4 linked regions of the Notamacropus eugenii genome follow. The protein of the gene in region 1 purifies or fractionates together with the protein of each later gene. This does not show direct contact. Links are inferred from orthologs where the notes say so. Each region holds a gene or a part of one and is shown on either strand. Other genes may lie near its edges.

What was found.
Region 2: the proteins of CSNK2A2 (region 1) and PIP4K2A purify together in Homo sapiens (affinity purification with mass spectrometry; 3 studies listed by BioGRID and IntAct, with this or other methods). This does not show direct contact. The link is inferred for Notamacropus eugenii from reciprocal best matches to the Homo sapiens genes CSNK2A2 and PIP4K2A.
Region 3: the proteins of CSNK2A2 (region 1) and EFCAB14 purify together in Homo sapiens (affinity purification with mass spectrometry; 4 studies listed by BioGRID and IntAct, with this or other methods). This does not show direct contact. The link is inferred for Notamacropus eugenii from reciprocal best matches to the Homo sapiens genes CSNK2A2 and EFCAB14.
Region 4: the proteins of CSNK2A2 (region 1) and ZNF687 purify together in Homo sapiens (affinity purification with mass spectrometry; 6 studies listed by BioGRID and IntAct, counting the BioPlex papers as one, with this or other methods). This does not show direct contact. The link is inferred for Notamacropus eugenii from reciprocal best matches to the Homo sapiens genes CSNK2A2 and ZNF687.

What each region holds. Positions count from the first base shown.
Region 1 is NC_092872.1:715,884,619-715,892,465, forward strand, and holds the start of CSNK2A2 (casein kinase II subunit alpha'), read left to right. Parts: upstream 1-4,728; 5' UTR 4,729-4,870; coding exon 4,871-4,974; intron 4,975-5,571; coding exon 5,572-5,683; intron 5,684-7,847.
Region 2 is NC_092874.1:63,584,098-63,592,153, reverse strand, and holds the start of PIP4K2A (phosphatidylinositol 5-phosphate 4-kinase type-2 alpha), read left to right. Parts: upstream 1-4,855; 5' UTR 4,856-4,940; coding exon 4,941-5,084; intron 5,085-8,056. UniProt on the Homo sapiens protein: Catalyzes the phosphorylation of phosphatidylinositol 5-phosphate (PtdIns5P) on the fourth hydroxyl of the myo-inositol ring, to form phosphatidylinositol 4,5-bisphosphate (PtdIns(4,5)P2). Has both ATP- and GTP-dependent kinase activities.
Region 3 is NC_092873.1:507,796,401-507,803,960, reverse strand, and holds the start of EFCAB14 (EF-hand calcium-binding domain-containing protein 14), read left to right. Parts: upstream 1-4,403; 5' UTR 4,404-4,609; coding exon 4,610-4,851; intron 4,852-5,072; coding exon 5,073-5,221; intron 5,222-7,560. Other genes in the region: cytochrome P450 4A25-like, read right to left, coding at 3,662-3,710.
Region 4 is NC_092873.1:305,102,754-305,110,395, forward strand, and holds the start of ZNF687 (zinc finger protein 687), read left to right. Parts: upstream 1-4,607; 5' UTR 4,608-4,639; coding exon 4,640-4,724; exon of another isoform or gene 4,725-4,744; intron 4,745-5,222; exon of another isoform or gene 5,223-5,999; intron 6,000-7,642. UniProt on the Homo sapiens protein: May be involved in transcriptional regulation.

The sequences.
Region 1 (7,847 bases):
TTGCTTGCATATTGTCTTCTGCATTAGACTGAGATCTCCTTGAGAACAGGGACTCTCTTTTATTTTCTTTGTTATTGGTCAGTCATTTTAGATTCTTTGTGACCCCCTTTGGGGTATTCTTGGCAAAGATACTGGAGTGGTTTGCCATTTTCTTCTCCAGATCATTTTATAGATGAGAAAACTGAGGCAAACAGGGTAAAGTGACTTAGCCAGGGTCACCTAGCTAGTAACTTTCTAAGACTGAATTTGAACTCAGGTCTTCTTGACTCCAGGCCTGGCACTCTATGCACTGTGGTACCACTTAACTGCCTCTTCTCTTTTTATATGCCCAGCCTAGTCCAGGGTCAGGCACATAGTAGGTACTTTAAAAATGCTTGTTTTCTTTACTTAAGTGCTGGTGATACAAAGACAGAAATAAAAACAAAATCTGAACTAGAACACTATGAAAGGACAAACAAGATGGATCAACGGGAAAGGTGTCCCTGAGAAAGAACTGACAAGTTTTGGATACTGACAACTCATTGGCTCTGGTAGGGTAAAGGGGAGAGAGTCATTAAGGATGACACTGAAGCTGAAACCTGGATGAATGGAAGGATGGTGATGCCCCTAACAAAAACAAGAAAGATCAAAGAAAGGGAATTGGTGAGGGAAAGGGAAATAGATTCTGTTTAGGACATGCTGAGCTTGAAATGGACATCCAAGTGGAGATGTCCAACTGGAAAATGTGGGAAAAGTGGAATGTTGTAGGAAGTCTCAGGAAATAAGAAGTTTATATGGTTCTCACATGAAAGAGTATGACAGAAAGAGACAGACGGACAGAGAGAGAGAGAGAGAGAGAGACAGAGACAGAGACAGAGACAGAGAGACAGAGAGAGAGAGAGAGAGACAGAGAGAGAGAGAGAGAATCAGTCCAGAGAATTTCATTTGGAAAGAGATCTGGACACCTCTAGCCAAATTTCACTTATGGGCAAAGATTGTGGTGGGTATATGTAGAATCCCTGTTCTGAGTTCTTTCTCTCCATTCAGTGGTGCTCCTTCAAGTGAGCTAAAGAAACGAAGCTCTAATTATGAGTTTTCTGGCATTTGGAGTATGTATGGGGGAAGCAAGAGCCTTTCCTTGGTTCTGAAAACTATACCTCAGTGGAGTGGTGGTCTACTCATATTAGTATAAGAGAATTAGGTGCCACAGCAGATAGAACACTGGGTCTGAAGTCAAGAAGACTTGAGTTCAAATCTGAACTCAAACGCTCACTGTGCAGCCCTGGCCAATACACTGACTGACTCTTCTGTCTGCCTCAGTTCCCTCATCTGTAAAATGAGGATGATAGTAACATCTACATCCCAGGCATGTTGTAAGGATCCAATGACATCACGTTTGCAAAACACTGCCTGGCACACAGGCACTTACTAAATGTTTTTGTTTCCTTTTTACTTGAAAGGATTGAAATGGATTAAAACATAGGGTTTGAAGTGGGTCTAGATGGAGAGAGGCTTAGTGAGGAATCTTGAGGAAGGGGAGGTTCTGGTTGTAAGCATTTATTAAGTGGCTGTTAGGTTAGGTACCTGAGCAGTTGTATGGTACAATGGACAATGTGCTGAGCCTGGAGCTGACTTCAAACCCAGCCTCAGACACTTACTAGTTGTGTGACTTTGGCCAAGTCACTTCATCCTGTTTGCCTCAGTTTCCTCATCTGTAAAATGAGCTGGAGAAGGAAATGGCAAACCACTCCAGGATCTCTGCCAAGAAAGCCCCAAAATAGAGTCACAGAGAGCTGGACATGACTGAAAATGGCTGAACAGCAATAACACATATTGGGCATTGTGTTAAATGCTGAGGATACAAAAAGAGACAAAAGACAGTCCCTGCTCTCAAGGACCTCATAATCTCATAGGGGAGACAACATGAAAAAAATACGTACCTACACACAAACATGGTCAATACAAGAAAAGTAGGGAATAATTAAGAGAGGAAAAGCACTAGAATGAAAAAGGGTTGGGAAAGGCTTCCTGTACAAGGTGGGATTCTAGTAGGGATTTTGGGGAAGCCAGGGAGGTCAGTAATGGAGGAGAGGAAAGAGAACATTCCAGGCATGGCAGAAAGTCGAAGAGAATTCCCAGAGCTGAGAGGTGGAAAGTCAGGAGACCAGAGTCACTGAATCAAAGAGTACCTGGTGGGGAGTAAGGTATAAGAAGACAGAAAGGGTCTCAGTCATGAAGGGCTTTGAATGTCAAATAGAGGATTTTGTATTTGATCCTGGAAGCAGCCACTGGAGTTTACTGAGTATGAGTGTGGGGGGAGGGGTTGGGGTGACTGGACCTATGAATGGTGGATGGATTGGAGTGATGAGAGACTTGAGGTAGGCAGACCCACTAGCAGCGACTGCAATAGTCCAGGTGTGAGGGGATAGTCCAAGCGCGGGGGGGCGGTGTCAGAAGAGAGAAGGGGCATATTTGAGAGATGTTGTAAAGGTGACTTTGACAGGCCTTGGCAACAGCTTGGATATAGGATTGAAGAGATACTGAGAAGCCCAGGATGACTACTAGGTTGTAAGTCTGGAGGACTGAGAGGATGGTGTTGCCCTCAACAGTAATGGGGGTGGGTGGGGTGGGACAGGGAGAGTTTAGGGAGAAGATAATGAGTTCTGTGTTGAGTTTAAGATGTGTGCTGGACATCCAGTGTGAGATGTCTGAAAGGCAGGTGGAGGTGTCAGATCACAGGCCAGCAGAGAGGTTGGTGCAGGGCAAGCAGATTTAAGAATCATGAGCACAGAGGTGGTCATTAAAGCATGGGAGCTGATAAGATCACCTAATGGAAGCAGCCCAGAGGGAAAAGAGAAGAGAGGTCCAGGACAGACCCTGAGGGAGGATCCAGAAAAAGAGACAAAGGAACTTTGGAGAGGGGGACTAGACGGATTAGTCGATCAATGAAGAAGCATTTATTAAGTTCCTACTGTGTTCCCAACACTGTTAGCTGCTGTGGATACAAGGAAAAACCTGATCTCTGTCCTCATGGAATTTGTCTTTTTAAGGAATGAGGGAAATAGGGGAGTTGAGAAGCTCTGGAGGAAGAATGTTCAAAGGGCATGGAGTCCAGGAGACTGGGCTTCCGATCCTGCCCCAGATCTTTGCTAGCTGTGTGACTCTGGGCAAGTCACTTATCCCTCACATATTCCCTTGTCTCTAAAAGGAAGAAGCTGGACTGGTTTGTCTCCAAGATCACTTCTGGGTCTAAATAGATGATCCTTATAAGCTCCTGATGGTTTGTTTGCCTTTCTTTGTACCCCTGGGGCCTAGCACAGTGTCTGGCACATGGGGAGCACTTCCCAAGGGCTTGCTGGTTTAGCTGTGATCATGATCCTAAGGTCTGGATTGGGAGGCACGAGGAGAAGAGCAAGGTGAAGCTGGGAGATCTGGGGAAGGGGAAGGTCGCTGGCCAACAAGGCTAGGACAAAGAGAAGGAGGTCTAGAGGAGGAGCGCTGTGGCCAGGGTGGGGGTCCGAGGGAGGAGGGTCTGGCCAGGGTGGGGGTCCGAGGGAGGAGCGCTGGCCAGGGTGGGGGTCCGAGGGAGGAGCGCTGGCCAGGGCGGGGGTCCGAGGGAGGAGCGCTGGCCAGGGCGGGGGTCGGAGGGAGAAGGGCTGGCCAGGGTGGGGGTCCGAGGGAGGAGCGCTGATCAGGGCGGGGGTCCGAGGGAGAAGGGCTGGCCAGGGCGGGGGTCCGAGGGAGGAGCGCTGGCCAGGGTGGGGGTCCAAGGGAGGAGGGTCTGGCCACGGGCCGAGGCGGAGGAGCGCTGGCCAGGGCGGGGGTCCGAGGGAGGAGCGCTGATCAGGGCGGGGGTCCGAGGGAGGAGCGCTGGCCAGGGCGGGGGTCCGAGGGAGGAGCGCTGATCAGGGCGGGGGTCGGAGGGAGAAGGGCTGGCCAGGGCGGGGGTCCGAGGGAGGAGCGCTGATCAGGGCGGGGGTCCGAGGGAGGAGCGCTGATCAGGGCGGGGGTCCGAGGGAGGAGCGCTGGCCAGGGCGGGGGTCCGAGGGAGGAGCGCTGGCCAGGGCGGGGGTCCGAGGGAGGAGCGCTGGCCAGGGCGGGGGTCCGAGGGAGGAGCGCTGGCCAGGGCGGGGGTCCGAGGGAGGAGCGCTGGCCAGGGCGGGGGTCCGAGGGAGGAGCGCTGGCCAGGGTGGGGGTCCGAGGGAGGAGGGTCTGGCCACGGGCCGAGGCGGAGGAGCGCTGGCCAGGGTGGGGGTCCGAGGAAGGAGCGCTGGCCACGGGCCGAGGGGGAGGAGCTCCTGCCTCTCCCCAGGAGGGCGGCTCGAGCAGCGGCGCCGCGTCCTCCCTCCCTGCAGGGGGCGCTGTGGGCGGGGCCGGCCCGCGGGGCGGGCGGCCGGGGCCCCTCCTGCCGAGCTCGGCCCCTTTTCCGGGTTTCCTCCGCCGCCGCCGCCGCCTCCTCCTCCTTGGCCTCCGTCGCCGCGGCCGCCGTCGCCGCTCCTCCTCCCCGCCCGCCTTCCGCCCTTCTCCCGGCCGCCCCCGCCGGTGCGGCCGCCGCCGAGGAGCGCGGGACGCGAGCGGAGCGGAGCCGGGGCCGCCGCGGAGCCGCAGCGCGAGCGCCCTCCCGCCGCCGCCGCCCGCCGGCCCGCCCCGCCCCGCCCTCCGCCCGCCGGCCGCTCCAGGGCCGGGGCGGCCCGGCCAGGCCGGCCCCGCCGCCCGCCCCCGCGGACCCGGCCTGGCTCGGCCGCCCGTCTTCGCCGCCCTCGCCTGCGCCGCCGCCTCGTCGCTGCTGGGCTTCCTGCGCTCCGCGCCCCGGGGCCGCCGCTCGCCGCTCCTGCCGCCCCTGCCCTCGTCGCCGCCCCGCGCCCCCCGCTGCCGCCCGGCGCCGCCCGCCATGCCCGGCCCGGCCGCCGGGAGCAGGGCCCGGGTCTACGCCGAGGTGAACAGCCTGAGGAGCCGCGAGTACTGGGACTACGAGGCGCACGTCCCGAGCTGGGGGTAAAGGAGCCGCCGCCGCCCCGGGCCCATGTGCTCGGGCCCCCGGCCCCGCGGGAGGAGCAGGCGCCCCGGGCCCCGGCGGGGGGCGGCCGAGGCCGCGGGGGGCGGGGGGCCCCGGGAGGGGCGCTGGGGAGAGGCCGGGGCCAAGTAGAGTCGGGGTTCTTACCCCGCTCTCCTCCCAGTGGGGGGGAGGGTCTATTAGAATCGGGGTTCTTACTCCCTCCCAGTGGAGCGAGGGTTAATTAGATTCGGGGTGTTTCCTCAAGCCCCCTTTCCAGGGGAGTCCTTACCCCATCCATTCCAAGCCCCTCCCCTGGTGGACCAGGGGTCAATGAATCGGGGTTCCCACTCCATCCCCTGCCTCCCGTGGAGAGGGGCGTTTGCTAGTCAGAGCTGGGGTCCCTATCCCATCCCCCCTCTCAGCGGAGCACGGGCCCCTGAGATAGGTTCGGGTTCCTGCAGCGTGGCTGGTTAGAGTTCAGGGGGCCAGGGAAGGGCTTGTGGCCGAACGCGGTCCCCGGGCTCCATGTGGGTGAAGTGTGTGTGAGACAGGATTGCAGTAGTTCCGTGGCTCAGACGTGTCTCTTGCTTTCACAGTAATCAGGACGATTACCAGCTGGTTCGGAAACTTGGTCGGGGAAAATATAGCGAAGTGTTTGAGGCCATCAACATCACCAACAATGAGAGAGTGGTTGTCAAGATTCTCAAGGTGAGTCAGGTTCCTGTTGATGGTCACTCTCAGGAGTGTAGTGATAAGAGCAATAATAGCTAATAATTCTGTAGGTCTTGAAGGTCTGCAAAGCCATTGCCATGTCTTCTCTCCTTTGAGCCTCACCATCCCGATGATAGCATGAGCTGTTTCCCCATTTTGCAGATGAGGAAATTCAGGCTCAGAGGCTGAGTGACTTTCACAGGATCCCATAGCTAGCAAGTGTCTGGGGCAGAAGTCTGGCTTGAGTCTTCCTAATTCCAGGTCCAGTGCTCTATCCACACTACTACGTTGTATTTAAAATTTCATTGTAGTTTTCTAGTTCAGAAGCAAAACATTCACCACCATCTTCCAGGGTAATAAGTGATATTTCATTATGCAGAAGAGATTATTTTTGCTTTCCATCCAACTGAAAATCTTACATTAATCTTTCCCATCTCATTTTCTATTCACCGCCAAAAAATGACAAACTAGGGGTAATTTTGACACAAATCTAGCGTAGTGTTTTAGGAATGGATGGGACCTGTGACTAATAGAAAGATTCTGGTTCCCCCCCCCCCCCCCCCCCCCCCAGTGAACATCTCAGGTTGAATTCCATTACCTGTTTTTTTAGTTGCCAAATCAGTAGATTGTCCTCAGAAATTAGTTGGCTTATTTCCTGTACCTTCCTTTGGGCAGAGTTTGCTTGAGCATTATTTTACGTTTAATGGATGTTCTTATTCATTTATGAGAGGAAATTTCATCTGCCGATGAGGATTCAAAGGTTGAATGATGCTGGTCAGAGGTGGCAATGAGCATAACCTGCTCATTTGGTTCTGGGATGATGTGCTGTGAGGTCATGATGTAGTATCTTGGGATGTTTATTAGTTTGTCAGGAAAAGTAGAACATGGACTCATTTGGAATAAGTCAGAAGGAGGAGCCCTCTGGAATCAAGTGTTGCCTCTATGGTAGCTATTTTCCTGGCAGAAATCAGTGCTACAAAAGAATAGAGCTCCTAAAACAACAATTTGGGTTTGGCTTTTTTAATGGAGGATGTAGTGGCATGCTCTTACAGCCATGGACCTTTCTGTTAACTCTTACATAATTATCACCCAGCATAGCCACAACAAACAAATACTTGATTGAAGTTTCCCAGGTTGATAGTATATTTGGGTTCTGACTCATGATAATGTTTGATAACGGGCACAGCATAGAAACTCTTGGAATCTGATAGGTGCTTATGGCAGGTCAGTTCTGATTTATTCAAGTAATTATGAAAAATAAAGGGAACTCAGTGAAATGAGCACAGCTGTTACCTAGGCCTTCCTGGTCTAGCAGCATTTTGAGTAGATTTGCAGAATAAGAGCAGGATTAAAACATTTTTCATGTCTTAGTGTTAGTACTATCTATGAATGATGATCCTCATTTGATGTGTATTCTTGAGTTTCTACTCTGGCAATACGGAGGAGGCAGTGGGTCACAATTTCCCAACAGTGATCCATCCTGCTGCTGGTGGAGCAGGAAAGTAAGTGCTGTGGCACAACCAGGCAGGGCCGATGATAGATGGAAGCTGACTTTCCTCTTTGTTAACACAAGGGATCACCATAATGCAAGGAATTTTTTAACACTGCCTTTTTTGTAAGTACTGGCCTCTTCCAAATAGTCATCTTTCAAGTTCTAGATACTTTTTCTAAGGATGTTCTCACTGCACAAAACATTTTAGAAACTCCTTCCTCTTGGGATTGCATCCAGAACTGGCTATGAGCATGACAAAAAAATCAACCTCATTTTTCTACCTCTTTTTTTTTTTTTTTGACCCATCATGCTGTTCCCCAGCTTGAGCACCCGCCCTCACTCACTTGAATTGGCTCCAGATGCCTTTTGGTTATTTTCTTTACTCTTGAGGGTATTTGTTCTGAAAGCTTTTTTTAGAGTTTCCAAAAGTGTTTTGAGTAAATGGCAACTTGATTGGAATATGTATATAGCATTGTAAGGTTGACTACTTTGAAGAGCCTAATGTAGTTGTTTGTAGATAAATCTTACCTATAAATTGAGAAATGTTTATTTTAAAAGTCAGTTTAGTTCAATAGTTACACCTTATAATAATTCTGAGTATTGGCTTCACTGGGCAATTATACCCATCCCCCTAATCAAACTAACACTTGGCTGTTCAATCTCCAAATA
Region 2 (8,056 bases), on another chromosome or scaffold:
CTAAAAGTAGTTCAATGGGATTTTGCCAAGGGAAAGTTTCACCGGGACTTTTAAAATACCCTATAAAAGGGGTTCAGAATTTTTTAGACCTGACAATTATTTGGTATGGATGGTAATTTCAAAATCTTTTAAGTGAATTTAGCAATCATGTTGCTTCAATGAGATTATTGATATACTTTTTTTAAAAAAAGCTGTACTAACTATATTATTGCATGTAATTGTATGTAATATATTGCATATAAAGAAATGACTTTAGATGACTGTTTTAGCCAGAAATAAGCATGGCTATATATATATATATATATGTATATGTATGTGTACATATATATGTACATTACATATATATGCATATATACATACACACATATTAATATTGATATATGATGAATGGAAAGGGACCATATAACTTATCAAAGCTTTTTTTCAGGTTAACCAAATGTTAGTTCTACACTATTCACTGTGTCTTTGTCTGAAGCATTTCTGTGAAACTATCAATTGCAGAACAGTTTTAGGTATGTATTGGCAGATACAGTTTTTTCACTGGAGTTCTCTATACCTACGAAATGACAGGCCCAGGTTAAAATGAATTAAAATAAAATTATAAGCAACAATAACATTTATTGGGTTTAATATTTTTCCTGTATAATTTGAGGTTTTAGATATAATAAAAGGAAAAGCCTTCTGTTGACTGATTAATGACATAATTAGGTTTTTTGGGAGCCTCTTTTTAAAGTTATCTTTGGTTTTCATAACACACACTCTCCACTTGTGGAAGATCGTCTGATGACATCGTGGTTTTAGTTATCCTCCATGCCTGGTATATGTGCCTTCTTCACCTCCCCTTCTTCCAATCCTTCATTTCCTTTGAAATTCAGCTCATGTGCTGCCTTCTACATGAAACCTTTTCTTTCTCTTCAGCTGCTTGTACCTTCCCCTCCAGAAATCACCTTGCATTAATTTCATATATATTTTGATTTCTTTATATATGTGCATATCATCCCTTGTGATAGAGTCAGGACCTGTTTCATCTTTATATTGGTTCTCCAGCACACAGCATAGTGTCTGTCCCATAGCTGCTGCTTAATAAATGTTTATGATTGGTTAATTAAACTCCTGGTCATAGGATCCAAGGAAAACCTGCTTTCTCTATAGTCTTCTCAGTAGGTAATAAAAAAAGTTTTGAGGTGGAGAGTTCAGCAATGTTAATGAACACTGTTCCTAAAGTCACAAGACCTAGACTGGAGTCAGGGCTGTGAAATTAACTCTGGAATCCTGAGCAAATCATTTAACTAGTCTCAATTTTCTTACCTGCAAAATGGAAAAAATAATATTTACACTATCTTCAGGACAGGGTTGTTTTGAGGAGGAATGTAATGTGCATACTGTAAAGTCACTTGATTAGATATTTGTAACATGAAAGAATGACTTCAGAATTCCAATATTACTTCTATAGCTATATGTAATGTACTCCTAAAATAGCAAGGCCAAAGGAAAGAAGAGAAGTATTATTTTTTTAATAATGTTAATTTAATTCAATAAACAAGGAGTCATGTAGTATCTGAAATCACAAGACCTAGTTTGAAGACCAGCTTTATTGCTTGCTATCTGTGTGACTTCAGGAGCATCATTTAACCTCTCAGAAACTCGGAGTCTTCTGAATGAATGACAGTTCCACCAAACTCTAAATCTATGATTTATTGAGTATGTACTATGTCCAAGGAGGAAACCAACTAGAACTTTCATGCTCTTCTGCCTCCTCCTCCTCCTAAAATAGTACAGTTTGGCCACCATGAGTTCACTACACTTTAAGTGGGATGATGCTAGTCATCTGGTTAATTTATGGAAAGAAAAAGAAAAACAGAAAATACTGAGTAACTTTCAACCATATAATATGGGGATCCCCATCTTTTCTTGGTGATGAGCTACTGGAGTATTGCTTGTAAGCTCGAGCACCCTGGGCATCCTTCTAGGGTGGCAGCATAACACACTTTATGCCAAGAGGTTCAATAGCAGGGGGTATAATGCCAGTCTTTTTTTGACTCATTTCCATATCCTTAGAGATCTCAGGCTCTCTTGTTCTATATTTTCTTCCTTTTGATTCTCTTTAAAGGAATCCCCTTCCCCCATTTCCTTTTCCATTGTGTCCTCCTAGAAGGAAAATTCAGAAACTTTTTTGATTATTGACAGTTCTATTGGCCAACCTTTACTTCTTCCATTGCTGGAATAAGTGCCTGTATTAGGGTCAGTTCACACGATTGATTTATCACTTCACACTCATAAAATATAGGTAAGAAAGCAGAGAAGGCAGTATAGTTCTGGCTGTCACTTAAAAGCTATACGATTTGGAACAACTCACATGGTCCACGTGAGCTTCATCTGTAAAATGAGGCTAATACTTAGACTATCTCCCTCCCCACTAGTTACAAAAGGCTTTGCAATCAGGAAGTACTAAGTTAATGTTAGTGATTGTGATGACTCAATAATTAAGCTTAATATATACAGAGTATCCAACCTTCCTGATAAGGTGTCAGACAAAAGAAACCTGAACCCAGTCTAAGTACCCAAGAAAAAATTTCTGAATTGATAACAGCTCACAAAATGTTTCCATGTGTAGAAAACCTATGTATGTTACATGAATTCAGGGATTCTTAACAAGGTGTCTGGGAACTTTTAAAAAATAGTTTAATAAAAGCATTTCATTATAATTTGTTTCCTTTGTAATCCTATGTGTTTAGTTTTATGCATTTAAAAACATTATTCTGAGAAAGGGTTCATATGCTTCATAAGACCTCCAAAGAGGTTCATGATACAGAAAGGTTAAGAAGTCCTATATTATCAGATTAGATGAGAAATAGTATGAAACAGTAATGTTGTTACACTGACAGTCTTGTTTTAAAGATGCTTTTGTTTCCGTTAACTTCTAAGGATGGTCCTCACCTTTCCCAGCCTCTGCACTAGCAAATGCTTTCTCTTCTCCTCACTCTCTGGATCAGAAGTGCAACTAGTAATTCTTGGACCTAGGGCAGAGGGTTTGAAAGAAAGGAACAGACTTTGACCACACCTATGTGTAAGTGAGAAACTGGAGACAGAGGTCATGGGAGTTGAGGGAGTGTGATACGGATGATAAGCTATCAAAGAATACTTAAGAGTGGTCAGACAGGTAAAAGATCCAGTACAGAACTGTGACATGAAAACAGAAAAAGCATCCAGCAGGGAAGGGCACTTGACAGTGTCAAATGCTGCAGAGAGATCAAGAATGACAACTGAGAAAAGATCAGATTTGTCAACTAAGAGATCATTGGTAACTTCATAGGGAGCAGTTTTAGTTGAGTGATGAGGTTGGAAGCCTGAATGCAAAAGGGCTGCAGAGTGAGTGAGACTAGAGGAAATGGAAGCACAGAACGTGTTAGCTTTTTCTAGTAGTTTGATTGTGAAAGAAAGGGGAGAGGAGAGCTCCTGAGAAGACGGTAAAGTCTGGTGAAAGTTTTTAAAGGACTAGATGGAAGGTTCAATACAGTAGGAGCTCTGGTGGTGGTCAGAAGTGGCTGCCCAGTCGGTAAGACTTAATGAGTTTTGAGATATGGTCTGTAAAGAAGTTTTTTAGAGTTATTTAAGACAATTCAACAAATATTTATGAAATGTCAACCGGGAATAACAAAGACAAAAACTGAGATGGTCGGTACTCTACCGAGTTTAGTGGATCCAACGATCATCCACAAATAGTACATATACTACCAAGTTAAAAGAAGCAGTAAGGCCTAGGGCACTCGACAGCACACTAATAAGTGGGGGGATTAAAGCTGTCTTTGAGATTGTGCCTGAAGCTAGGCTTTGAAGGAAGTTAGGAATTCTATCAGGCAGGAGGAGAGAGGAAGGAGTATAGCTTAAACATGGGGTATCATTTGTGCAAAAGCAAAAGAAGTGGGAGATGAACACTGTACTTGGTGAAGGGGGATGCGTAGGAGTCCGGATTGACTAGAACGTGGAAGCAGGTAAAAGGGAAGTAAAATTAAATAGACCGGAAAGGTCAGTGGGAGTCAGCCTGTCTTTGGTCCAGCCAGATGTCAGGAAAACCCCCTTTGCTCGTACTTGCAACGATCCTGGTCTTGGCCACTGTGACATCTTGTGAAGGAGGCAGTGAGGCTTATCTAAAAAGGCAGTGAACTTGGGGTCACGAAAGAGCTGGGCCCGACTCCTGCCTCTGAGCTTTCTCGCGTGTGAAGCGGAGAAGGATGCTCATGCTCATACCTGTGCCCTAGTCCTCAGAGATGGTGTCAAATAATTATGTAAAGCCCTATAATAAAAGTGCCGGCTGCGAGGCTTGCGCCCCGTTGCTTCTCCCCTCTCGGGCAGGCAGGCCCCTCTCTGGTGGCTTTTCTTTCCCGGACTTACCCGAGAGGTGGGGGTTTCCTTCTTGTTCCATCCCCCCTCCCCTCCAAGCCTCACACCCCAGCCCAGGGCCGCGCTCGCGCTCGCGCCCGCTCCTCTTCCCGCCCCGCCCCGCCCCGGGGGCGCGCCCCCAGCCAGGAGCGCCTCGGATCGGGCCCCCCCTCACTCCCCTCGGGCCCCCCCACCCCCCCACCCCGTAGCGGCCCCGCTTCCCGCCCGCCTCGTGCGTCATGACGCCAGCGCCCAACGCGGAAGCCGCTCTCGGCGCGCCTGGTCCAGCCGCGGGCTGAGAGAGGAGCGAGCGAGCGGGCGGGCGGCGGACGCGGCGGCGGCGACTCCTCCTCGGTGGCTGCGGGGCCCCCAGTGCGCGCGGACGCCCGGCGCGGGAGCCGGAGCGGGAGCGGGCGGAGGCGGCGGCCGTGGAGAGCGGCGGCGGGGCCGGGGCCGGCATGCGGCCGCGGCTCCCGGCCGGCGGCGTGTGAGCGAGGGCGGCTCCCCGGCCTCGGCGGTGCGGCGCGGCGCTGGAGGGGACCGAGGCGGCGGCGGCGGCCATGGCGACCCCCGGCAACCTGGTGTCCTCGGTCATGGCGAGCAAGACCAAGACCAAGAAGAAGCACTTCGTCGCGCAGAAAGTGAAGCTGTTCCGAGCCAGCGACCCGCTGCTCAGCGTCCTCATGTGGGGGGTGAACCACTCGGTAAGGGCTCCGGCCGCGGGGGCGGTGGCCGCCTCCCCCTCCTCTGTCCTCCCTCCGTCCTCCCTCCGGCCCCCGGCTGCAGGGGGACACCCTTTCCTCCTCTCCCCTCCCCCCGCCTGGCCCGCGCATCCCGGCCCCTGACGCGGCTGCAGATAACGGGGCCGGGAGGGCTGCGCCCGCCGCGCCGGACACGCACACTCCCCGGAGCCGGGGGGGCGCGCGGGGCTCCGTGGAAGTGGGACTAGGGGCTGCTTGGCACGGGGGAAGTTAGCGGGCGGCGCTTAACCCCCCCTCCAGTGTGCGTGTGCGCCCCCACCCAGCCACCCGAGGTGCGGGGGTGGGAGCTTGCGCCCACCCTGTGGGCACTGGTCCCCATACGGATGGAGAGGCGGCCAGCCTGGGCGCAGTGGAAGCTCCTCCAAGGGAAGATAGAGAGATACCTGTCATTGCGCTGGGTGCGCTCTGTGGCTTCCTTGCAAGTAGGAAATACCGAAGTCTAGGAAGACGGGGCTCGTTTCTTCAGTTTAAGGGCAGTACTGTTTAACATAATGCGGTTGGGGGAGGGGGAGTGCGGAGAAGTGAGGCAAAGAAAAAGACAGCATAGTTACGGCAACTGTGTTTTGAGACCCTTCCCATCCTCCACCGCCTCCCCAAATTACGTTATCCTGCTGTTGACCCAAGACATGCATAGCCAAGTATTCTCTCTCTCCCCAGACCCTTCCTCCTCTCTCTTCTCTCTCTCTTCCCTTTTTTCTCTTCCCTCTCTCATTTCCTCCTCTTTTTGGCCCCTCTGTTGCTCCCCCCTTTTTCTTTCCTTCTTTCCTCTTACCCTCTGACCTTCCTCAAATAACTGCACCTAAGTCACGAGTTACAGAAGATCAGTATTGGGGGGTAAGGGTCTTGAGGGAATGGCTCCGGACATAACCAGCATCCTGCTTGTTAAATATTTGTTAAATTTTATCCCTTCAGCAAAATGCTTTAATGTCTCACTTTAAGAGGTAGCCAAGAGAGTTGAAGATGCACTGCTGTGGGCTATGCGGACTGCGATTTGAGGGTCTGAAGTAAGCCTCATACTGATCTTAGAGTGTGAAACTCCTGCCGTTTTAATCTACTTAGAGTGGATCAGGAAACATGATAGTAGCTGTTGACAGAGCCAGGCAAGTTTAAATGTCTGAATTTTGTTCCTCAAATAATCATCTGAGGTGGAAAGTGAAAGAAAGCTCTCCAGAGTTTGAATTTGGGTTGATTTTATATGCATTCCCTTGAGTCTAAATGAAGGAAAAAGTAAACTTCTTTAGATTGAAAGTCTTTTTAAATGACCCCAAATTACTGAGTTTTTAACTTGCCTTTTTAAGTCGAGGATAGGGAAAGGTGGTTTTATGTGTACAGGTATAGGTCCTGAAGCATGTATGAATTAATTTCGTGAAATTTAGTGTTAAAGAGGTCAAGTAGAATAGTGACTTCTTTTTAGAAGCTGAAGATTTGAGATATGACTAAATCCATTTTAGCCTGACAACTTCTTTTGGTGTTACAGGTGCAAGGTGTCCTCGTTTAGGACAGAAAATACACTATTACACAAAAACTCTCAGGTTTCTTCGCGAAAAAGTTCCTCTGAGATGAATATAATTTTCTGGGATGATATATTTTTGGTGGCTGGTCCCTGAGTGCCGTAGGAGTATCTTGACGGCTATGTGGGACTGTGAAGTTTCTACTCATGAGTTTCTAGACTCTACACATAGACTATATTGTGGTTTCGGTTGTTTGTTGATAGATTTCTCTTTCACAAAGGTTCTATTTTTCTGGTTGAGATTGACAGTGTGAATTGGCTTGTTTAACATAGTAAAATGGTAGTAATTTTACTTTGTACTTTGAAGCAATGTTCTTTCATCTCTTGAGTCGCCTTTAATGGAAGGCAAGTATGCTAGGGAAACATTGTAACAATGGTCATAGCAAGTATGTTGTAACTATTTATATTGTTACTTTGTATTCATATGACTGCTACATTTATTTTGTGGTAAGAAATAAGCTTGAAAAAAATTGGACCAACTGGGTTTTTTGGGAAAATAATTTAGCCTTACGCATTTGATTTTAGGGATCAGATATATAGCATGACATAATTGAGGTATAGAAAAATTAATTTTGGCTATTCATTAAAAAGTCACATATTTGCATCTACTACATAAAAATGAAAAAAAATTGCTATGAATGCAAACATTTCTTCATATACAATGTCTTTGTTTTGAAAACTTGATATCAACCTAAGAAGAGTTCTTGTGTTTATTTGGTCTTAGTTTTTTTTTAGCAATGTCAGATGATTTTCTTTAATTGTATTAAAAAATAGATGAACACACATTTGAAATAGAACCACTCTAATGCCAATTTTATGTCAGTGGACAAAGGCCTGTACAATATTTTGTATTAAAAGTAATTAGTTTTTATAAGCTACTATGCATAAAATTGTGTAATGAGAACTAAATGGCAAAATGTCAACAGAATGAAAAAAAGAGTAAGAATAGCACTGTCAGTTCGTGAGGGATAATGACTAGAAAAAACAGAGCAGGGAAAGACGGGATGGTCTGAGCAGTCCCTTCTTTACTTTTCTAACATAATTGATATTGATAGAAAATATATTCACTTTAATTGTTTTAATCTGACTGTATATTTTAGCAGCCCTGATCCATGTTAATTTGGACTACTAAAGGAAAGTGCATGTTTGTTTTTCTGCTCTCATCAGGCATCAAGTTATAGTAAAAAGTTCAGTATACCTGAGCCTTTATGCAGTCTTTGCTAATTGGTTTTGCAAATGCCTGGGAAAGCCATTGTGCCTATCTACCCTCATTTATAAAAAAGAGGATTGAACTGGATTATTGATAAAGCCCTTTCCAGTTCTAAAATTCTTTGTATAATTTGATAGCCCTAGGTATATAGTAGTATACTAGAAGCCATAGACTACAGATCCCAATCTGTCCTGC
Region 3 (7,560 bases), on another chromosome or scaffold:
TACACATTCAGCCTTTGCCTCCTGCTGAGCTGTAGGGCTTCCCTCACATCTGGGCACAGATGTTTAGCTGGAAGCTGAAGCAGATGGTGGGGAGAGAAATTTCAGGAATCCCAGAATTCCAGGATTTCTGGGAAATTCCAGGAACCCAACCACCTGCAGCTTGGAAAGGGGCCAGGTACTATGGGCTCCCCAGGGTTGTGAGGCACCTGAGGGGAGGGAGCAGTTCCTCTGGCATCTCCCCACCTCCTCTGCTACAGTTCTTCCAATGGAAACCCTGGAGTGCCCTCCCTGACCTGCCAACTAGATGTCTGTAAATGGCTTTACCTTTCTACAGTAAAGAGGGAGATGCATCCCTCACAATTCCCAAGAAATTAACCTCCCCTTGCCCCCAGGTAGTGCAGGAGTATCTGCCAACCTTGCTGCATCTCTGAGACTATTCTGAGATAAGGGGCTAAGAAACCCCTAACTTAGGAAGATCTCTAATCTGTGGGACCTAGATGCCTGGGTCCTAACCCTTGATGAGCCCTGCCCTAGCTGTTTTCTCCACACTCTCCCCAAGGCCACCCTGTTCCCCCAAAGAAGGCACCAGCCTGCACCCTGGTACAACCCTTGAAAATCCTTTTCCTTCTAGGCCCTGATCAGCTGCCACCTCCTCCAGGAAGCCTGCTGTGAGAGGGATCTGGGTTTCTGCAGATTTTCTCCAGATATTCCCTGAGCTCCTAGTCTGGATCCTCCCTTTGCTCTCATCACATTCCACCTTACATCATACTCACCTGTGTTCTGCATATATTGCTCCTAGTGGGTGGGAGGCTCCCTGAGGACATCATTTTTCTTTTTTGCAACATAGCTCAGAGCACAGCACTTTAGCAGGGCTACGATAAAATAGCTAGCACTGTCTTCCCAAGCTTTGCCATATTCTTCACTAATAATGCCATCAGATTTCATCACATTCGTGTCCTAAACTTTGGTCATTTCCCATTTGATGAGCACCCACTGTTTCCAACTCCACCACTAATAAAAAGTGTGACAAAAATATTTTGGTATATATGGGTTTTTTTTTTCTCTCATTGACTTCCTCGGGTTATATGCCTGGGTTAAAAGGTATGGACATTTTAGTTTATTCTCGGTGACTTTTCAGAATGGTTTTCTGGACAGCAACTTTGGAAGTATTCAAGAAAAAAGAATTAAACTGTGCATACCTTTGACTCAGCAATTCTACTGCTCAGAATATGCCCCAAGGAGGTAAGAGACAGAAACAAAGGTCTAATATATACGAAAATGTTCATGGCAACTGTCTGTGTTAGAAGAGAATGGGGGAAAAGATACCTATTAATTGGGGAATGGGTATGAAATTTATAAAATATTACAGTAATGGAATATTATGCCCTAAGAAATAATAGCTAGCTAACATTTATCTAGGGGCAGCTAGGTAGTGCAGTGGGTAAAGCACCAGGCTTGAAGTCGGAACGACTCAACTTCCTGAGTTCAAATCTGGCCTCAGACACTTCCTAGCTGTGTGACCATGGGTGAATCATTTCACTCTGCTTGCCTGAGTTTCCTCCTCTATTAAATAAGCTGGAGAAGAAAATGGCAAACCACTCCAGTATCTGTGCCAAGAAAATCCAAGATAGTGTCAAGAAGAGTCAGGCACGACTGAACAATAAAAACCATTTATGTGGCACTTCAAAGTTTGCAAAGCATTGTCTGTACATTATCTCATTTAATCTTTACAACAAGCCTGGAAGGTAGGTGTTAGTATTATCCCCATTTTGCAGATGAAGAAACTAAGACAACCAGATGTTCTGTTGCATAGCTTTTAAGTATCATTGGCTGGATTTGAACTTGGGTGTTCCTCACTCTTCCAGATCTACTGCACCACCTAGATGCCTTTAAGATACGATGTGCACCGCCCCCTCTTGGCCCCTTCCCACAATTCAGCACTCAGAGATTGGGTCTGCCCCTGACTCAAGGTATTCTGTGAGGCAGTACTTCTAAAAAGACTTTGTGGCAGAGCAGAAAGCAAGAGCAGAAGTAGCAGCAGGCAGCATCCAGAATGGGACTCAGGTTTTTCACAGGCTGTTTTCCCAACAGACCTACTGGCAGTTGGGGTGGTGGCTGGGTCCGAAAGGGGATGCCTCCTGGACCTGTGCCCAGGGGTAAAGCCACGTTCCTCCTGGTGGGGTGGGGTGTGGGCACGCAGCCGGTCAGTGTTGAGGGAAGGGATATAAGGACCAGAGAGGCTATGGCCAGGAGCCAGGCTGGAGCTGGCTGCCCGGGCAGCAGATCCGGACCCGAGTTCAAGGCCTGAGTCTGCCACAGATCCGTAGTCCTCATCATCTGCAGGCAGTAGGTCAGTGCTAGTGACCCAGTTTTGCTAACACCTGAATCTGGACCGAGAGAACCTTTGGTTTGATTCCCAGCTGGGTTACTTAATACATAAGACCTGGGACAAATCCCTAGGCTTTAGTTTACACTGCAGTAAAATGGAGCCACCAGATCAGATGATATTTAACAAAGAAACAAGCAACAAACATTTAACACCTGCTTGCTGCCTGGAGAGGCACTTTGATGAGCTTGGACATATAGAGGCCATAAGGAAATAGTCTCTGCCCACAAGAAGCTTACTTTTTAACAGACAATGTGCACATGTGCAACCCAGTAAGGACTGATTCCCACCCCCCTCCCCAGCGACAGTGGAGGGCTTCTGCCCTCCCTGGGCTGAGGAATCAGTCTTTGGACTGGACACAATGAGCCCCCTGGCCCAGAGTGATTCCATGGCCTTTACTGAGCTGGCATCCTCCAGCTTAGCCATTTTCCTGACCAGGTCCTAAAACTTACTGAATCAGTGCTGGTGAATCCTACGGAGTGTTAGGTTCACTCACTCTCTGGGAGAGGGTAAGAAGCCCTCACCTGGGCACTGCTCCTCATGCCCATTGAAGGTAAAGCCATTATGGTCATACTAGTCATTCTGTCTCCAGAAGGGAAAGTGAGGAGCAGACCTGACTCTTTGCCCCCAGAGCCCTCTGAGCTCCCCTAACACACTTCTGGTTTTATTTTCATACTTTGCATTTCCCACTTCGCTGAAACATAATTATGACCACAAAAACAGAAAGAGCAAAGCTCTAGAGACATGTGACTTGCATGGTATGTGCCCTCCCTCCACCATGGCAGATCACAGGCTGTCTGTAAAGTGGGTGGCCACCTTGGGGAGCCACCCAGCCAAATCACTGATCCCCTGCCACTGCCCTGGAGACCAGTCCTTGGCTCCTCCCTGGACTGTCTGTCCCTGGCCTGGCCTCCAGAGGGCTTCGGTCCTGGGCTGCCTGAACCAAAGAGCATTTCTGTCCTGTTTTATGCCACCAGGGAAACAACCACTGAGATAATAACTGGTTTTCCTCCCAGCACACCCTGCGTTCTTTTTTCCTACTCAGCCCTCTGTCTGACCTCAGATGAATTAGGCCACTTCTAAAAAGAAATTAGCAAGAAAACGATCCCGGGGATTCAGAAGGGCACCGCTGAGAGGTAGGACACCTGGGTTCCCTTCCTAGCTCTGTGTGACCTTGGGCTTTCCCTTCCCGTCTCCGGGTTGGTTGCCTTCACCCCATGAGGAACCAAACAAGCGGGCATAGAGGGAGCTCTTCCTCCGTGCCAGGCTTCGTACCAGCTACAAGTAAAAAGAACAAGCGCATCCTCTTGCACACAGTTTCCATCTACCCTGTAAAAGCTTATCACATCCATTCCGGGCCAGCTCCTTGCCTTCCTCTGTTCCCTAGGGGGCCCAACCCGTGCCTGGCAGGTGCGCACTACAAGGACTCGGTCAAATGCGGGTCAGCAGCCTCGTTACTCATTCAGAGCACCTGGGCCTGCCCCTCCCTGTGCAGGGGGGAAACTGAGGCAGCCCAGTCTCGGCTATTCGGGACTAGAAGCCTGGCGGACTGGTACAGGAAAAAGCATCCCCTCTGCGTAGCCACTCTCTAGCTGGGTGTCTCTGGGGGAGTGGCTTCGCCAGTCCGGCCTCAGTTTCCCCAGGTGCCCACTGGAATGGACTCCGAGGTCGCTTCCAGCTCCATCCTGAGGATTCTTACTTTAGGCAAAGGATTTCATTGCTCTGAGCCTCAGTTTCCTCATCTGTACCACGGGGAAGGGGTATGGATGTTAAGCTCCCCAAGCGCTCTGCGCGGTGTGTACACGTAGTAGCCTTGTCCCTTAGTGGCAGCGCCAGCTCCTAGTATTCCGCCCCGGAGCGCTCGGGCCTCAGGAATAGGGTTCGCGGACCCTTTAAGGAGGCCCCACCCACGCGCCGACGCACAGGTGAGTGACGTCGCTGGACGGCCAATGGGAGTGCGCGCTGCTGGGGGGGGGCGGGGCGGGCGGCCACGGCCCTGGGGGCGGGGCTTCGGGCCGGGCCGGGCCGTGACCATGGGCCGGGAGCGGACTCGGCGGCCGCTCGAGGCCGAGCCCGAGCTGGAGCCGCAGCCGGAGGCGCCGAGGGAGCGGAGCGGCTGAGAGGCCCGCCCGCGCCGTCCCCCCGCCTCCCTCCGGCCGGGCCGCGCTGGAGCCCGGCGGCTGCTGCTCGGCCCCGGGCGGCCCCCTCACGCCGCCCAAGAAGATGAAGAAGCGCAAGGAGCTGAACGCGCTCATCGGCCTGGGCCCCGGGGACGGGCGCGGCCGGAGCCGCCGCAGCCGCCGGGCCTGGAAGGGCGCCGCGGGCCACCGGCTGCTGCGCACCGAGCCGCCCGCCTCGGGCTCCGCGTCCAGCTCGGAGGACGAGGACGAAGACGACGACGACGAGGACGAGGACGAGGACGAGCGCGGAGGGGGAGGGGGAGGCCCCCGCGCGCGCTTTGCCAGGTGGGAGGGGGCCCCGGCGGGGGGCGGGGCGGGCACCGGGCAGCCCCCTCCCCCGGAGAGCCCGCGGTCCGGCCGGGACACCGGGGCCACACGGGAGTCGTAGCCCACGGCCGCCGAGCCCCCCCAGGGCCGCGGGCCCTTCCTCCCCGGGCTCTGGGTCGGGGGTGTCAGCCGCCCCAGGCCCGGGCGTCCCCCGCGACTCGGCGCCTGTTCGTTTGCAGAGGAGACTATTTCCGCTGCTGCAAGGTCTGCTACCCCCTGTGCGCCTTCGTGATCCTGGCGGCGTGCGCCGTGGCCTGCGTGGGCCTGGTGTGGATGCAGGTGGCCCTCAAGGAGGACCTGGACGCCCTCAAGGATCAGTTCAGAATGCGTGAGTGGGAGCTTCGGGAGGAGGGGGCTTCGGGGGCCTCCCTAATCACCGCCGGTCCCTGCTGTGTGCCGAGCACCCGGAGGCACCCTAGTGTTTGGCCAAGGGCCCCCTTGCTGGCCCCACCTGGGACGACTAAATGAAGCGTTCGGGCCCCCCGGCTGGGGCTCGGGGCTTGTCTGCTCCCAGCGCGGGGTCCGCTCCGCGCCCCATGAAGCACCGCAGGAGGACGGGTGAGAAGTGAGAGGAAGCCCCCGGCCTCTTCCTCCCTCTCTGACCCCGGGTGAGCCGCTTCCATTTTCTGGGCCTCTGTTTCCCCATATGTCAAGTGAGGGAACAGGGCTGGATGAGCTCTGACCTCTCATCCTGCTCTTTCCACCTCCCCCGCCTGCGAAGGGGCAGCAGGCTCGGTGCTTGTTCTCTTTACCGACCTTCCTGGGATCTTTGAGATTACTGCGAATGACTTTGAATGAAGTGCTTTGAGCCCAAGATCCCCAGAGAAACACAGGCCATAGAGCCTTTCGGAGCAGTAGGAGAGAAGGATCCTAAGCCTGCTGATGTCAGTGGGGGCTAGGTGGCAGGCTGTGGGCGCAGAAGGAGGCGGTGCTGCCAGACTGGTCAGTGTGTTTGCTCTCCTCCGTGTCTATTATAAGAGAGCGTTCTGTTGGGTGGAAATGGAGATCAGGATGCGAATGACAGCTGTGTGTGTGTGTGTGTACAAGAAAATGTTTCTAAACAGTTTCCATGGGCCCAAGAAGGAAAACTGGGCATCTGCCAGCATCTTCATGGCCAGGGTCAGTGAGTTTGGTTAATTAGGTCAGCCTCCATCCTTCTACCTTTCCATCCTCCTCTCATCCCTTCTAGATTGTACTTTTATTCATAGTAGTCTTTTACAAGTTGTAATTAACTTTGCCACATGTGAATGTTAATAGGATGTTTCCAAAAGTAAGGAGCATATTTTATTGGAAAACAGTTCACTTCATTACTTGTTTATTGAGGCCCTGCCAGGCACTAGAGGGACAGTGGTCCCCACAGGAGCCACAAGTACTTGGGCCTTGTCCACACTGGCCCTCCCACAGGAGGGGACTTGAGGGTGTGCTTGGCAGAAGGGAGCAGGCAGGCGTCGTCCAGTCAGGAAGGCAGCCTATGAATGGACTTTGGAACCACTCCCTGCTCTTCAGAAAGTCTTAACTTCATAGACTCGTAGGAGGCTCTGAAAGACAGCTCAGCCTTAACTTTGCCAGAATATGACTGTTCTGAGTTAAAGATCTCTAGTGATTGGGGATTTACAGCCTCCACAGAGGGGCCTCCAGCCATCTAGGAGGAGTCCCTTGGCAAGGACATTTCTCCTTTTATATCAACCTGCAACTTTGCAAAGTAGTTTCCCTTAAAAATAGTGCCTAGCGTCTCACCATCTTCTTGGCAGCCCTAAACCTTTAAGATAGTACTTAGGCGAGCTGGCCGCTTGTCATAACTGACAAGAAAGCTAGCTACCCCTGACAGCATCCTTGTAGAGAAACCATTCCAAGAGTCCTTGGCACCAGGGATCAGGAGGAAATGCCTCCTGCCTTCCCATCCATGCCTAGGGGTTCCTGCCATCACAGGGTACCTCTAGCCCAGGCCCTTGTCTTTGTTTGCTGTCCACGGTCATTCAGGCTCCCAGTCTGTCCCAAGAATAGTTAGCCCTTAATAAAACTTCCAGAGGACCTTCCTCGGAGAAGGAGAGAATGCTGCTCATGGTTCTGAGATTTTACTCAGGGGACCTGTAGCTGTTCTCTTGGGAGCCTGTATGTCCATCCTACCCATTCTCTTCATCTGTGTAGAATCAATTTGTGATGGAGTGGGAGTTACATTTGAGTTGATTTTCCTTTTTAGCCCCTGTCCAGTTCGCTTTGCCAGCTGGTAGTGGTTGTTGTGTACTCCGGTCCAGCAGTGTGGGTCCTAACCTCAACTGCAGGGTGTGTTTTTCAGAACTTGGGGACCATGATTGCATGGGGGCAGGAGGTGGTTTTTGCTTCCCTTCCAGCTGTGGCCTTTTTGTATCTCTTTAGCTAGATTAATGAAGTAGTTGATCAGAGCCATTCTCCAGACTGAGTTTGTCCATTCTTGGGCTGCAGGGCCCAGATGCTTCAGTGCAGTAAGGCCTGGCCCATTACCTCTGCCAGCATGCCCATAAGAGTCCTGGGCACCTCTGCCATAGTGAGGCACTGGGGAAGACTTTGGTTTAGGAGAAGCTTGATTTGGCTTATGCTTTATAACTGCCAAAGACTCCTTCTGCCCTGACCCTCTTACAGCTTTGTGCCCTTTACCATGAGCTGGGTACATGCAGACGTTGCCGAAGT
Region 4 (7,642 bases), on another chromosome or scaffold:
GATTGCTTGCTGTCTTGGGGAAGGGGAAGGGAAGGGAGGGAGATAAAAATTTGGAATTCAAAATCTTACAAAAATGAATGCTGAAAACTATCTTTACATGTAATTGGAAAAAAAATAAAATGCTATTAAGTAAAAAAAAGATATGACAATATTTGGCAACAGATTATATATGTGAGATGAAGAGAGTGACGAGTTGCGAATAATGCTCTGGGTACGAGTCTGGGAGAGTGAAAAAAAGAATGGTGTTGACTTTAACAGAAAAAGAGAAGATTGGCAGAAGGGTGGGGTTTTGGTGTCTGTCACAGAAGTAGGCTATGGAATCTCAAATTACAGAAGCGGATTATGGAATCTCAAGTCATGGAAGCAGGTTATGGAATCTCAAGTCATAGGGAAAAGTAAGAAGACCAGTTAGGTGAGAGTGTGGGAGAAGGAGTAATTTATAATCTGTCTGGAAATAGCACCAGATAATGAAGGAACTTTAATGCCAAACAGAGGAGTTTATATTTTATTCTAGGGCCATAGGGAGGAGTTAAGCTTTTTGATTATGTTTAGATCTATGCTTTAGGGATATCCATTTTTTTTCAGTCAGTCAACAAATTAAGCACTTACTATGTATCAGGCATGGTGCTAAGCACTGGGTATACAAAGTAATGCAAAAGACAGTCCTGGTCCTCAAGATACTCAGTCTAATGGAAGAGACAACAAGTAAACAAGTTATATATAGGATAAACAGAAAATAGTCAACAGAGGGAAAGCACTAGAATTAAGAGGGATTGAGAAAGGCTTCCAATAGAAGGTGGGATTAAGAGTAGACCTGCTTCAGGTAAAATGGCCTAAAAGACCCTAACCTCTATTTGAATGTAATTATGAAAGTACTACATTTCCCAGGATACCTGGGTCCAGAAAACAAAGATGGATTACAGACATCATTTTGAATGAGATCATGGAGATGATAGGCTTTTGGGAGGAGGAGAGGGACATTCAGGAACACAAGTAGCCACGGAGCACCCCTGAAGCTCCACAAAGCAAGGAGTCATACTAGGTACAGAGAGATAGTAAGACCAGCTGCCTTCTAAGCAGAAATGTGGATGTTATATTCACTTCATTTTACAACCTCTTATTTCAGTTACAGACAGACTTTATGTAAAACTTCCCCATTGGAATTAGAATTATTTAAATGAGTTAAAATTCTAGGCTACTTTTGGGGAAGGGGTATGGGCCATTTACTGAGAACATGGGTGGCGATTGCTTTCCACTGCTTTTTGTATATTTCTGACCTGAATGAATATTTTGTTGTTCCAATGCTGTATGTACTGAATGTACTTCATTCAGTATGTGGCCCAGGAGCTCAGGGGGAATGGAGGACAGAGAGAGATGCAAGATTGATGGTTAGGGGAGCTCCTGTTTAGGCCATGCAATCTGCCCCTCTGGTGCATTGTTACAACTTTTAGGACTTAGAACTTTTAAAAGTCTTTTCATTTATCCTGCAACTGAACTCTATAATATGTTGTTTTTCCTCACCCTACCATCCCTCAAGTGTGTACTTGACCATAGATTGTCTTTCTGTAGTTGTCATCCATCCCCAGTACTGAGCATAGCACTTGGTACTTAGTAGCAACAGGAATTCAATAAATGTTTTTTCATTAAAAAAACAACAACAAACCTTCCAGCTCTAAATCTGTGACCTGAGATGAATAAAAGAGACAATTTACAGGACCAGGAGGAAAAGAACTTTTACAATCATTTAATCTAATTCTCTTTTTACAGATGAGGAAACTGAGATGCAGAATAGTTAAGTGATTTTTCCAAAGTCATCCTATTATAGATTAGCCAGGATGTAAATCCAGGTTGGCTAACTCTAAATCTAATGCTTTTTCCATCATACCATCAATCCATATTCTTTTCATCCATAGGTAAGTGGCATAGTGGCTAAAACCACTGACCTGACGTCAGGAAGACCTAACTTCAAATTAGGCTTCAGACCTTCATAACTGTGTGACCCTGTGGGAAAGTCACTTAACCTTTCCCTGCCTCAGTTTCCTCAACTGTAAAATGGGGACAACAATAGCACCTACTTCACAGGGTTGTGTGTCTCAAATGATATTTATAAAATGTGCAACGGTACAGTGGCTGGCACATTGTGGATGCTCAATAAATGCCTTTCTCTTCCCCATCTTAGATTTATAAATCAAATCTAGATCAGTGTAGGCTTTACCCTAAGACAGAGGCTCTTAACCTTCTTTGTGTCACAGACTCCTTTGGCAGTCTGGTGAAACTTAATGGATACCTTCTTTCAGAATAATATTTTTAAACGCATGAGATAAAACACATAGGATTACAAAGGCAAGAAATTAAATTTATTATATTCAGTTATTACTTTTTTTTTTTTAAAGACCCCAAGTTAAGAACCCCTACTATAATACTCGGAACATATCCAGATAGGTTGGAATCCAGCAATTTCAACTTTATGATGAAATTATTACAATTTGCAATCTGTTACGTTTATAAACAGTCCTTTCCTTGGATAGATAAAACTACTAGTGACGCATTTCATCTGTGGTCTGGTATTGATTTCTGAATTTATAACTTACTTTGCACAAGTCTCCAAAACACTCCAAGGAATGAAAAACAGGCTGTCATAAATGCCCAGGAAGTAGCCCCAAACTACCTCCTTCAGCTCCCTTCAGCAAAAGCATTAGATGGCTTCTCATTGCCTATATGATGAATATCATGTGTCTTAACCTGGCTTCCAGCATCTTCCATAACCTCTTTGCCATCTACATCTTCCATTTCAAGGATTCCCCTTTACTCCCGCTGAACAGGTCACTTCTCTGTCCTTTACACATGACATTCACAATCCTGCTTTTGGGTGTTTTTTCAACATATCTTTTTCCTGAAAAGGGACATTCTCCCTTCATCTCCTCTTCTAACTCCTACCGAAGAGCACTTCACATAAATACATTACTTCATGTGACAATTCTGAGAGGAATCAGAGTCCACAGTTATATATAAGGAAACTGAGACATATTTAACTTAATTGACTTAGCCCTGAGTTATGACAACTTAGAGCCAAGGTGGAATTCCAGCCCAGGTCTTACTTTAAAGCCATCAGCCGTCCAAAGTCCTCCATGCCAAGGCAAATCCGGGCTAGATTTCTCCTGAACTCTCAACAGCCATGGTTGTCCAAACTCTGGGTTTGCCCCTTTGCTGTATGCTACCTTGCGTGGGTTATAAGCCTTTGAGGGCAAGGACTTTGCCCCCCCCCAATCATTTCTTGGAGGGGTCTAGGCACATCAAGCACCATACTGTATGGTATCAATGATGGGGAGGAGCGGGCATTCTGATGGCCAAATTCCTTTTTCTGTTTCTCAGTTTCTTCTTGCCCAAAAGGAAAGGTTGTTTTGGGTCTCTAGGGTTAAATTCAACCCCAAACCCTGTAATAATACCCCCCAGTAATTAAGGGGCAGCACAGCGAGAGGAAGTCAAGCCTTTATGACTTCATCAAATTGAGGGAGACTCAAGGTGGGTGGTCAGGAGAAGAAGATAAGAAGCTGCCCACTGGCCACAAAGGGGCCATTAGGGGTAGGTGGCAAGGTCACTCACTGGATGCCCAAGTCAAGCCAGACTCCACGTGTCCCCTGCCCCCGCCCTCCACCACGTCACAGAAAGAAAGAAAAGGCGAGGAAAGTGGGGCTGTAGGAGCATCCTTAGGCCACGTGTAGTTTGGTGTGACGTCACCACGCTGATAAGAAAAACTGGTACTGCCCCACACCAGAGCTCGTCATGACGTCAGGTGACGTAGTAGCGTCGCCATAGTGTCATGGCGCGGCGTTCTGTCGCAGAGGTCGTTTGTATGAGAAACTAGCTTGGACAGGGTACTTCCTATCCGGGTCTCTCTAGGAGTCAAGGAGGAGCTGCCCCTCCCTCTCTAAGTCTTCATCAAATAGAAACTGAAAACTCTTTCATATTTGCATAGATGAAGACAGGCCAATGGGCTTTAGGAGAACCGAGGGACGTCGGAGAGCAATCTACTCCAGTGGAGAAAGAGGGAATCAGGCCGGGCAGTTGGTAAGCGACTGAAGCTTCCTCCAATGAACTTTAAGAAGCTCAGGTAAGAGGGATGGGCACGTTTCGTTCAGGACGGCGACCAATGGCGAGAGGGGTCCTCTGAGTGACGAGGGCCCCGGCCCAATGAGGATTGGAGGAGAGAGGGAACTTCGTCCAGAGCGACGTCAGCCGAAGCCACTAGTATCTGACGATGGGCGGGGCTAGAAAGCGAGCGACGGGCGTGACATCCAATGGCGAGTGCAGAAGCAGGCGGCTCCGGCCAGGAGCGCCGAAAGGGTTGAGGGAGGGGGAAAAAGCTCTACAGTGGAGAAGCAGGAAGTAGCCGCGGTGAGAAACGGAGGCAGCGGGGAAGGTGGCGGCAGCGGCGTCTGCAGGAGCTGGGTAAAGACCGCATAGTGTCAGCCTGGCCCGGGACCGGAACAAGTAAGCCCGCCCCGGGTAAATACCCGCCTCCGGCCCCGCCCCCTCCTTGGGGGCGGGTAAATACCCTCCCCTCCCCCACTTGGGTAAATCCCCCCTCTCTCGGGGGGAGGCGTCGGGGGGATTGGGGGTGGAAATCTGTACCGTGAGGATGCTGCTCCGCCGCCGCCGCCGCCCACCTGGGTCCGGCTTGGGGTGGGTGAACCCCCGGCAGAACCGCGCTCCCGGCAAGCCAGGTAAATACCCGGGGGACCGGAGGCACCTCGCTGCCGGCCCCTTCCCCCTAGTCTCCGGCCCAGGGCGGCGACCGGGTCCCGGGAGGCCGCGAGGGAGCACGACCCAACATGGTGCCTGCACCCCGGGGGAGAAGGAGTCGCGGACCGGCAGCCCTCCTTCCTTTCCTTCCCTCCCGACCCCCGCTGACCGGCCGCCCCGAAAGACGCGCCCGGGCCCGGGTTCGAAGGCTTGAGGCCTGCGGGTCAGCCCTCCCCCTCCCCCAGCTCGCGCCTCCCAGGGAAGCTGATGTCCTGAGGCCCCGCCCCGCCCCACCCCGCCTCACCCCACCCCAGGGGGCCCTGGGAGAAGCCAGAGCCGGCGAGCCGGGAGGGCGTCCGAGCTGGCCCCGGGAGCCCCGGACCACGGTCGGTTACGGGCGCCCTGAGACGCGGTCCTGAAACTCCTGCCAAGGAGAGGAGGGAGTGGTGGGCCCCGGGGCGCGAGCCGCCGCAGGCTGGCCGCTTGTGTGGGGGCCTCCAGACCCCTCCCCCGCCTGGCAGCCTCAGTTTCCCCCTTCGCCTTTCCCCGGCTCTGCCTCGCTGCGCTCCTCCGAGCCTGTGCCTCAGCAGATGGCAGGGACTTAATTCCGCCCGCTGCCCAGCCAGTCTGCAGCCTAATCGCCTCGTGTGCGCCGGCCGCGGCCCCTCCCGCCCCTGCCCCAGTGCCAGGCCGTGGGAGCCCGTGGAAAGCGGAGCGCTCCTGCCCTCCCCTCCCCCATGTGCCCCGAGCGGCACTCGCCCTGTTGGGCCTCCCCTTTGGCTTTTGGGCAAAAACTGAAGGAAAAGCTCAGAGGGGTGGGCGGCCAACAACCTGGAGACTCGGAGGCCGGAGAGCGCTTTCCCTTGAGTACCAGGCTGCTTCTGCCTTTGGAAGTGGATGGCTATGGGACGACTTCAGAACCTAGCCTGATTCCCCCCCCTTCCCCCGCTAGTTGCGGAGAGGGGTGTGTGAATGAAGTGGGGTGTACTCTTCATAGTCTGCCACTCCTCTTCCACCTGCCCCAAGGAGAACTGGGAGGACCTCTATGAGAAATAGCCAGGCAGCTCTTAGGAGAGCTTCCAGTTAGAGACTAAAGTAAGGGACTTTGCTGAAGAATGGGAGAGGATTCCCCATTTTGCCTCAAGCTGGATAGGTTTACCCCCTCCCCCCTCCACTGGCTCCCAGAGGTCCCTCCACTAGTACCTGCTGCCACCTGCAGAGACCATCTCCAGTTACCATCCTGGGTCTGGGGACAGGTGAGGGAACTGGCCCCTGGAGGACCAAAGGCATCTTGAGAAAAGAGAAAGGGGAGGGGATTTGTGGAGGTAGAGACTCCGTCAGCTTTGTTTTTGCAGAGATTGGCCAAATTTCAATTCTTTACCTCTTTTTTTTTTTTAATAGGGGTAGAAGGGGGTAAGATATTGAAGGTTACTTCTGTTTTACGGCCTTGGGACAGAGTGAGGGACTGTGGCTGGGTTTGAATGGAATTAGTTGCCACCAAGATGGTTTGAGAAGCTTTTTACCTTGGCAGCCTAAGGGGGGTGGGGGTGGGGTCCTGTCTCTCCTTCAGCCCCCTCTTGAATCCTAGGTTAATTTCTTTGGGGCAGTGTTGCCATTAAGTTCTCCTATGCATCTTGGTCCCTTGTCCTGGGAAGAAAGGAGAAGAGAGGAATATGAAAAAGAAAGGAGGGGCTGGCTGAGGGAAGTCTGTGCCACTCTAGGGAAGGCTGGGGAACTGAGCAGCAGGTGTTTGTGACTGAGGAGAGGCCCCAGAGCTGGGACTTTTGTGACAAGATCTACTGTCATTGTCTCTGGATCTCTCACCTAATCTCTCTGTATTTCTGTTTTCCCTAGTCCATTTTCCACATTGATCAGTTTATGTTCCCTTCTAGTTAAGAATCACCCCAGTTGGCCCAGATTTGAATTTATGGGATAACCATGGATGGTCTCAAATGGTCCCAGTCTCAGATTTCCATTGCCCACTCATCCTAATCCTTAGCAGATCTAAGATGTCCTTATTTGATCTGAAATCCAATTTTTATTTGATTTTATCCTTAAAACAGCTCTGTAGGGAGTTGGAATCATTCTCTGCCTTTTATAGGGTGGGGAAGCTGAAACCAAGTGAAACTTGTGATGAGATTAAACCTTTCTTGTGTCCCATCCTATTGCTCTGACCACTTGGCCCAATTCCTTTCTCATCTCTGTGGGCTTCCTTTGACCCACAGATGACCTTGATTGATCCTGTGGCCAATCTTGAGCCTTAACAGTTATTGATTAATTGTTTTTCTTTGCTGGGTACTGAGCTGAGTGATGGAGTCACTTCAAGGATGGGTCCCATGTCTGTATCTAAAACCTCAGCTGATTTCAGCCCTCTGTAAACTCTCTGAATTCCTCAGGACCCTTTCTGCTATATACATACATGCCTGCACACATCCCCATCTCTTTCTCTGACTTTCTGTGTTTACCTCACTTCATTGTCTTCAGCTTCCTCCTGCTATCCCTTCATATCCCTCCATAGCCCTTCCCTCCCCTCCCCTCCATCCTTCCCCAGCAGCTCTTTTGGACTTTCCCCTGCTTGAATCTTCAAGGTGCTGATGGGGGTCATCTGTGTCTCAACTCAGCCTCCCTGCTCCCCGCACTGACATCAAGCCAGTACAGGCTCTCATCACCAATTACCTGGTCTCTTGCAATAACCTCCTAATTATCTTCCTGACTCCGTTTCCATACCCTCCCCGGCCTTTAATCCATTCTTCATGCTGCTGGCAGAAACATTTTTCTTAGAGATGGTCATTCCGCTTCTGATAAAACTTCATGGCTTCCTTTTGCTTATCAAGGGATATTTAAACTGCCCATCATTATTCTCCTTTTCCAACCTTATGTCCTATCTCTCTCTTCTCTC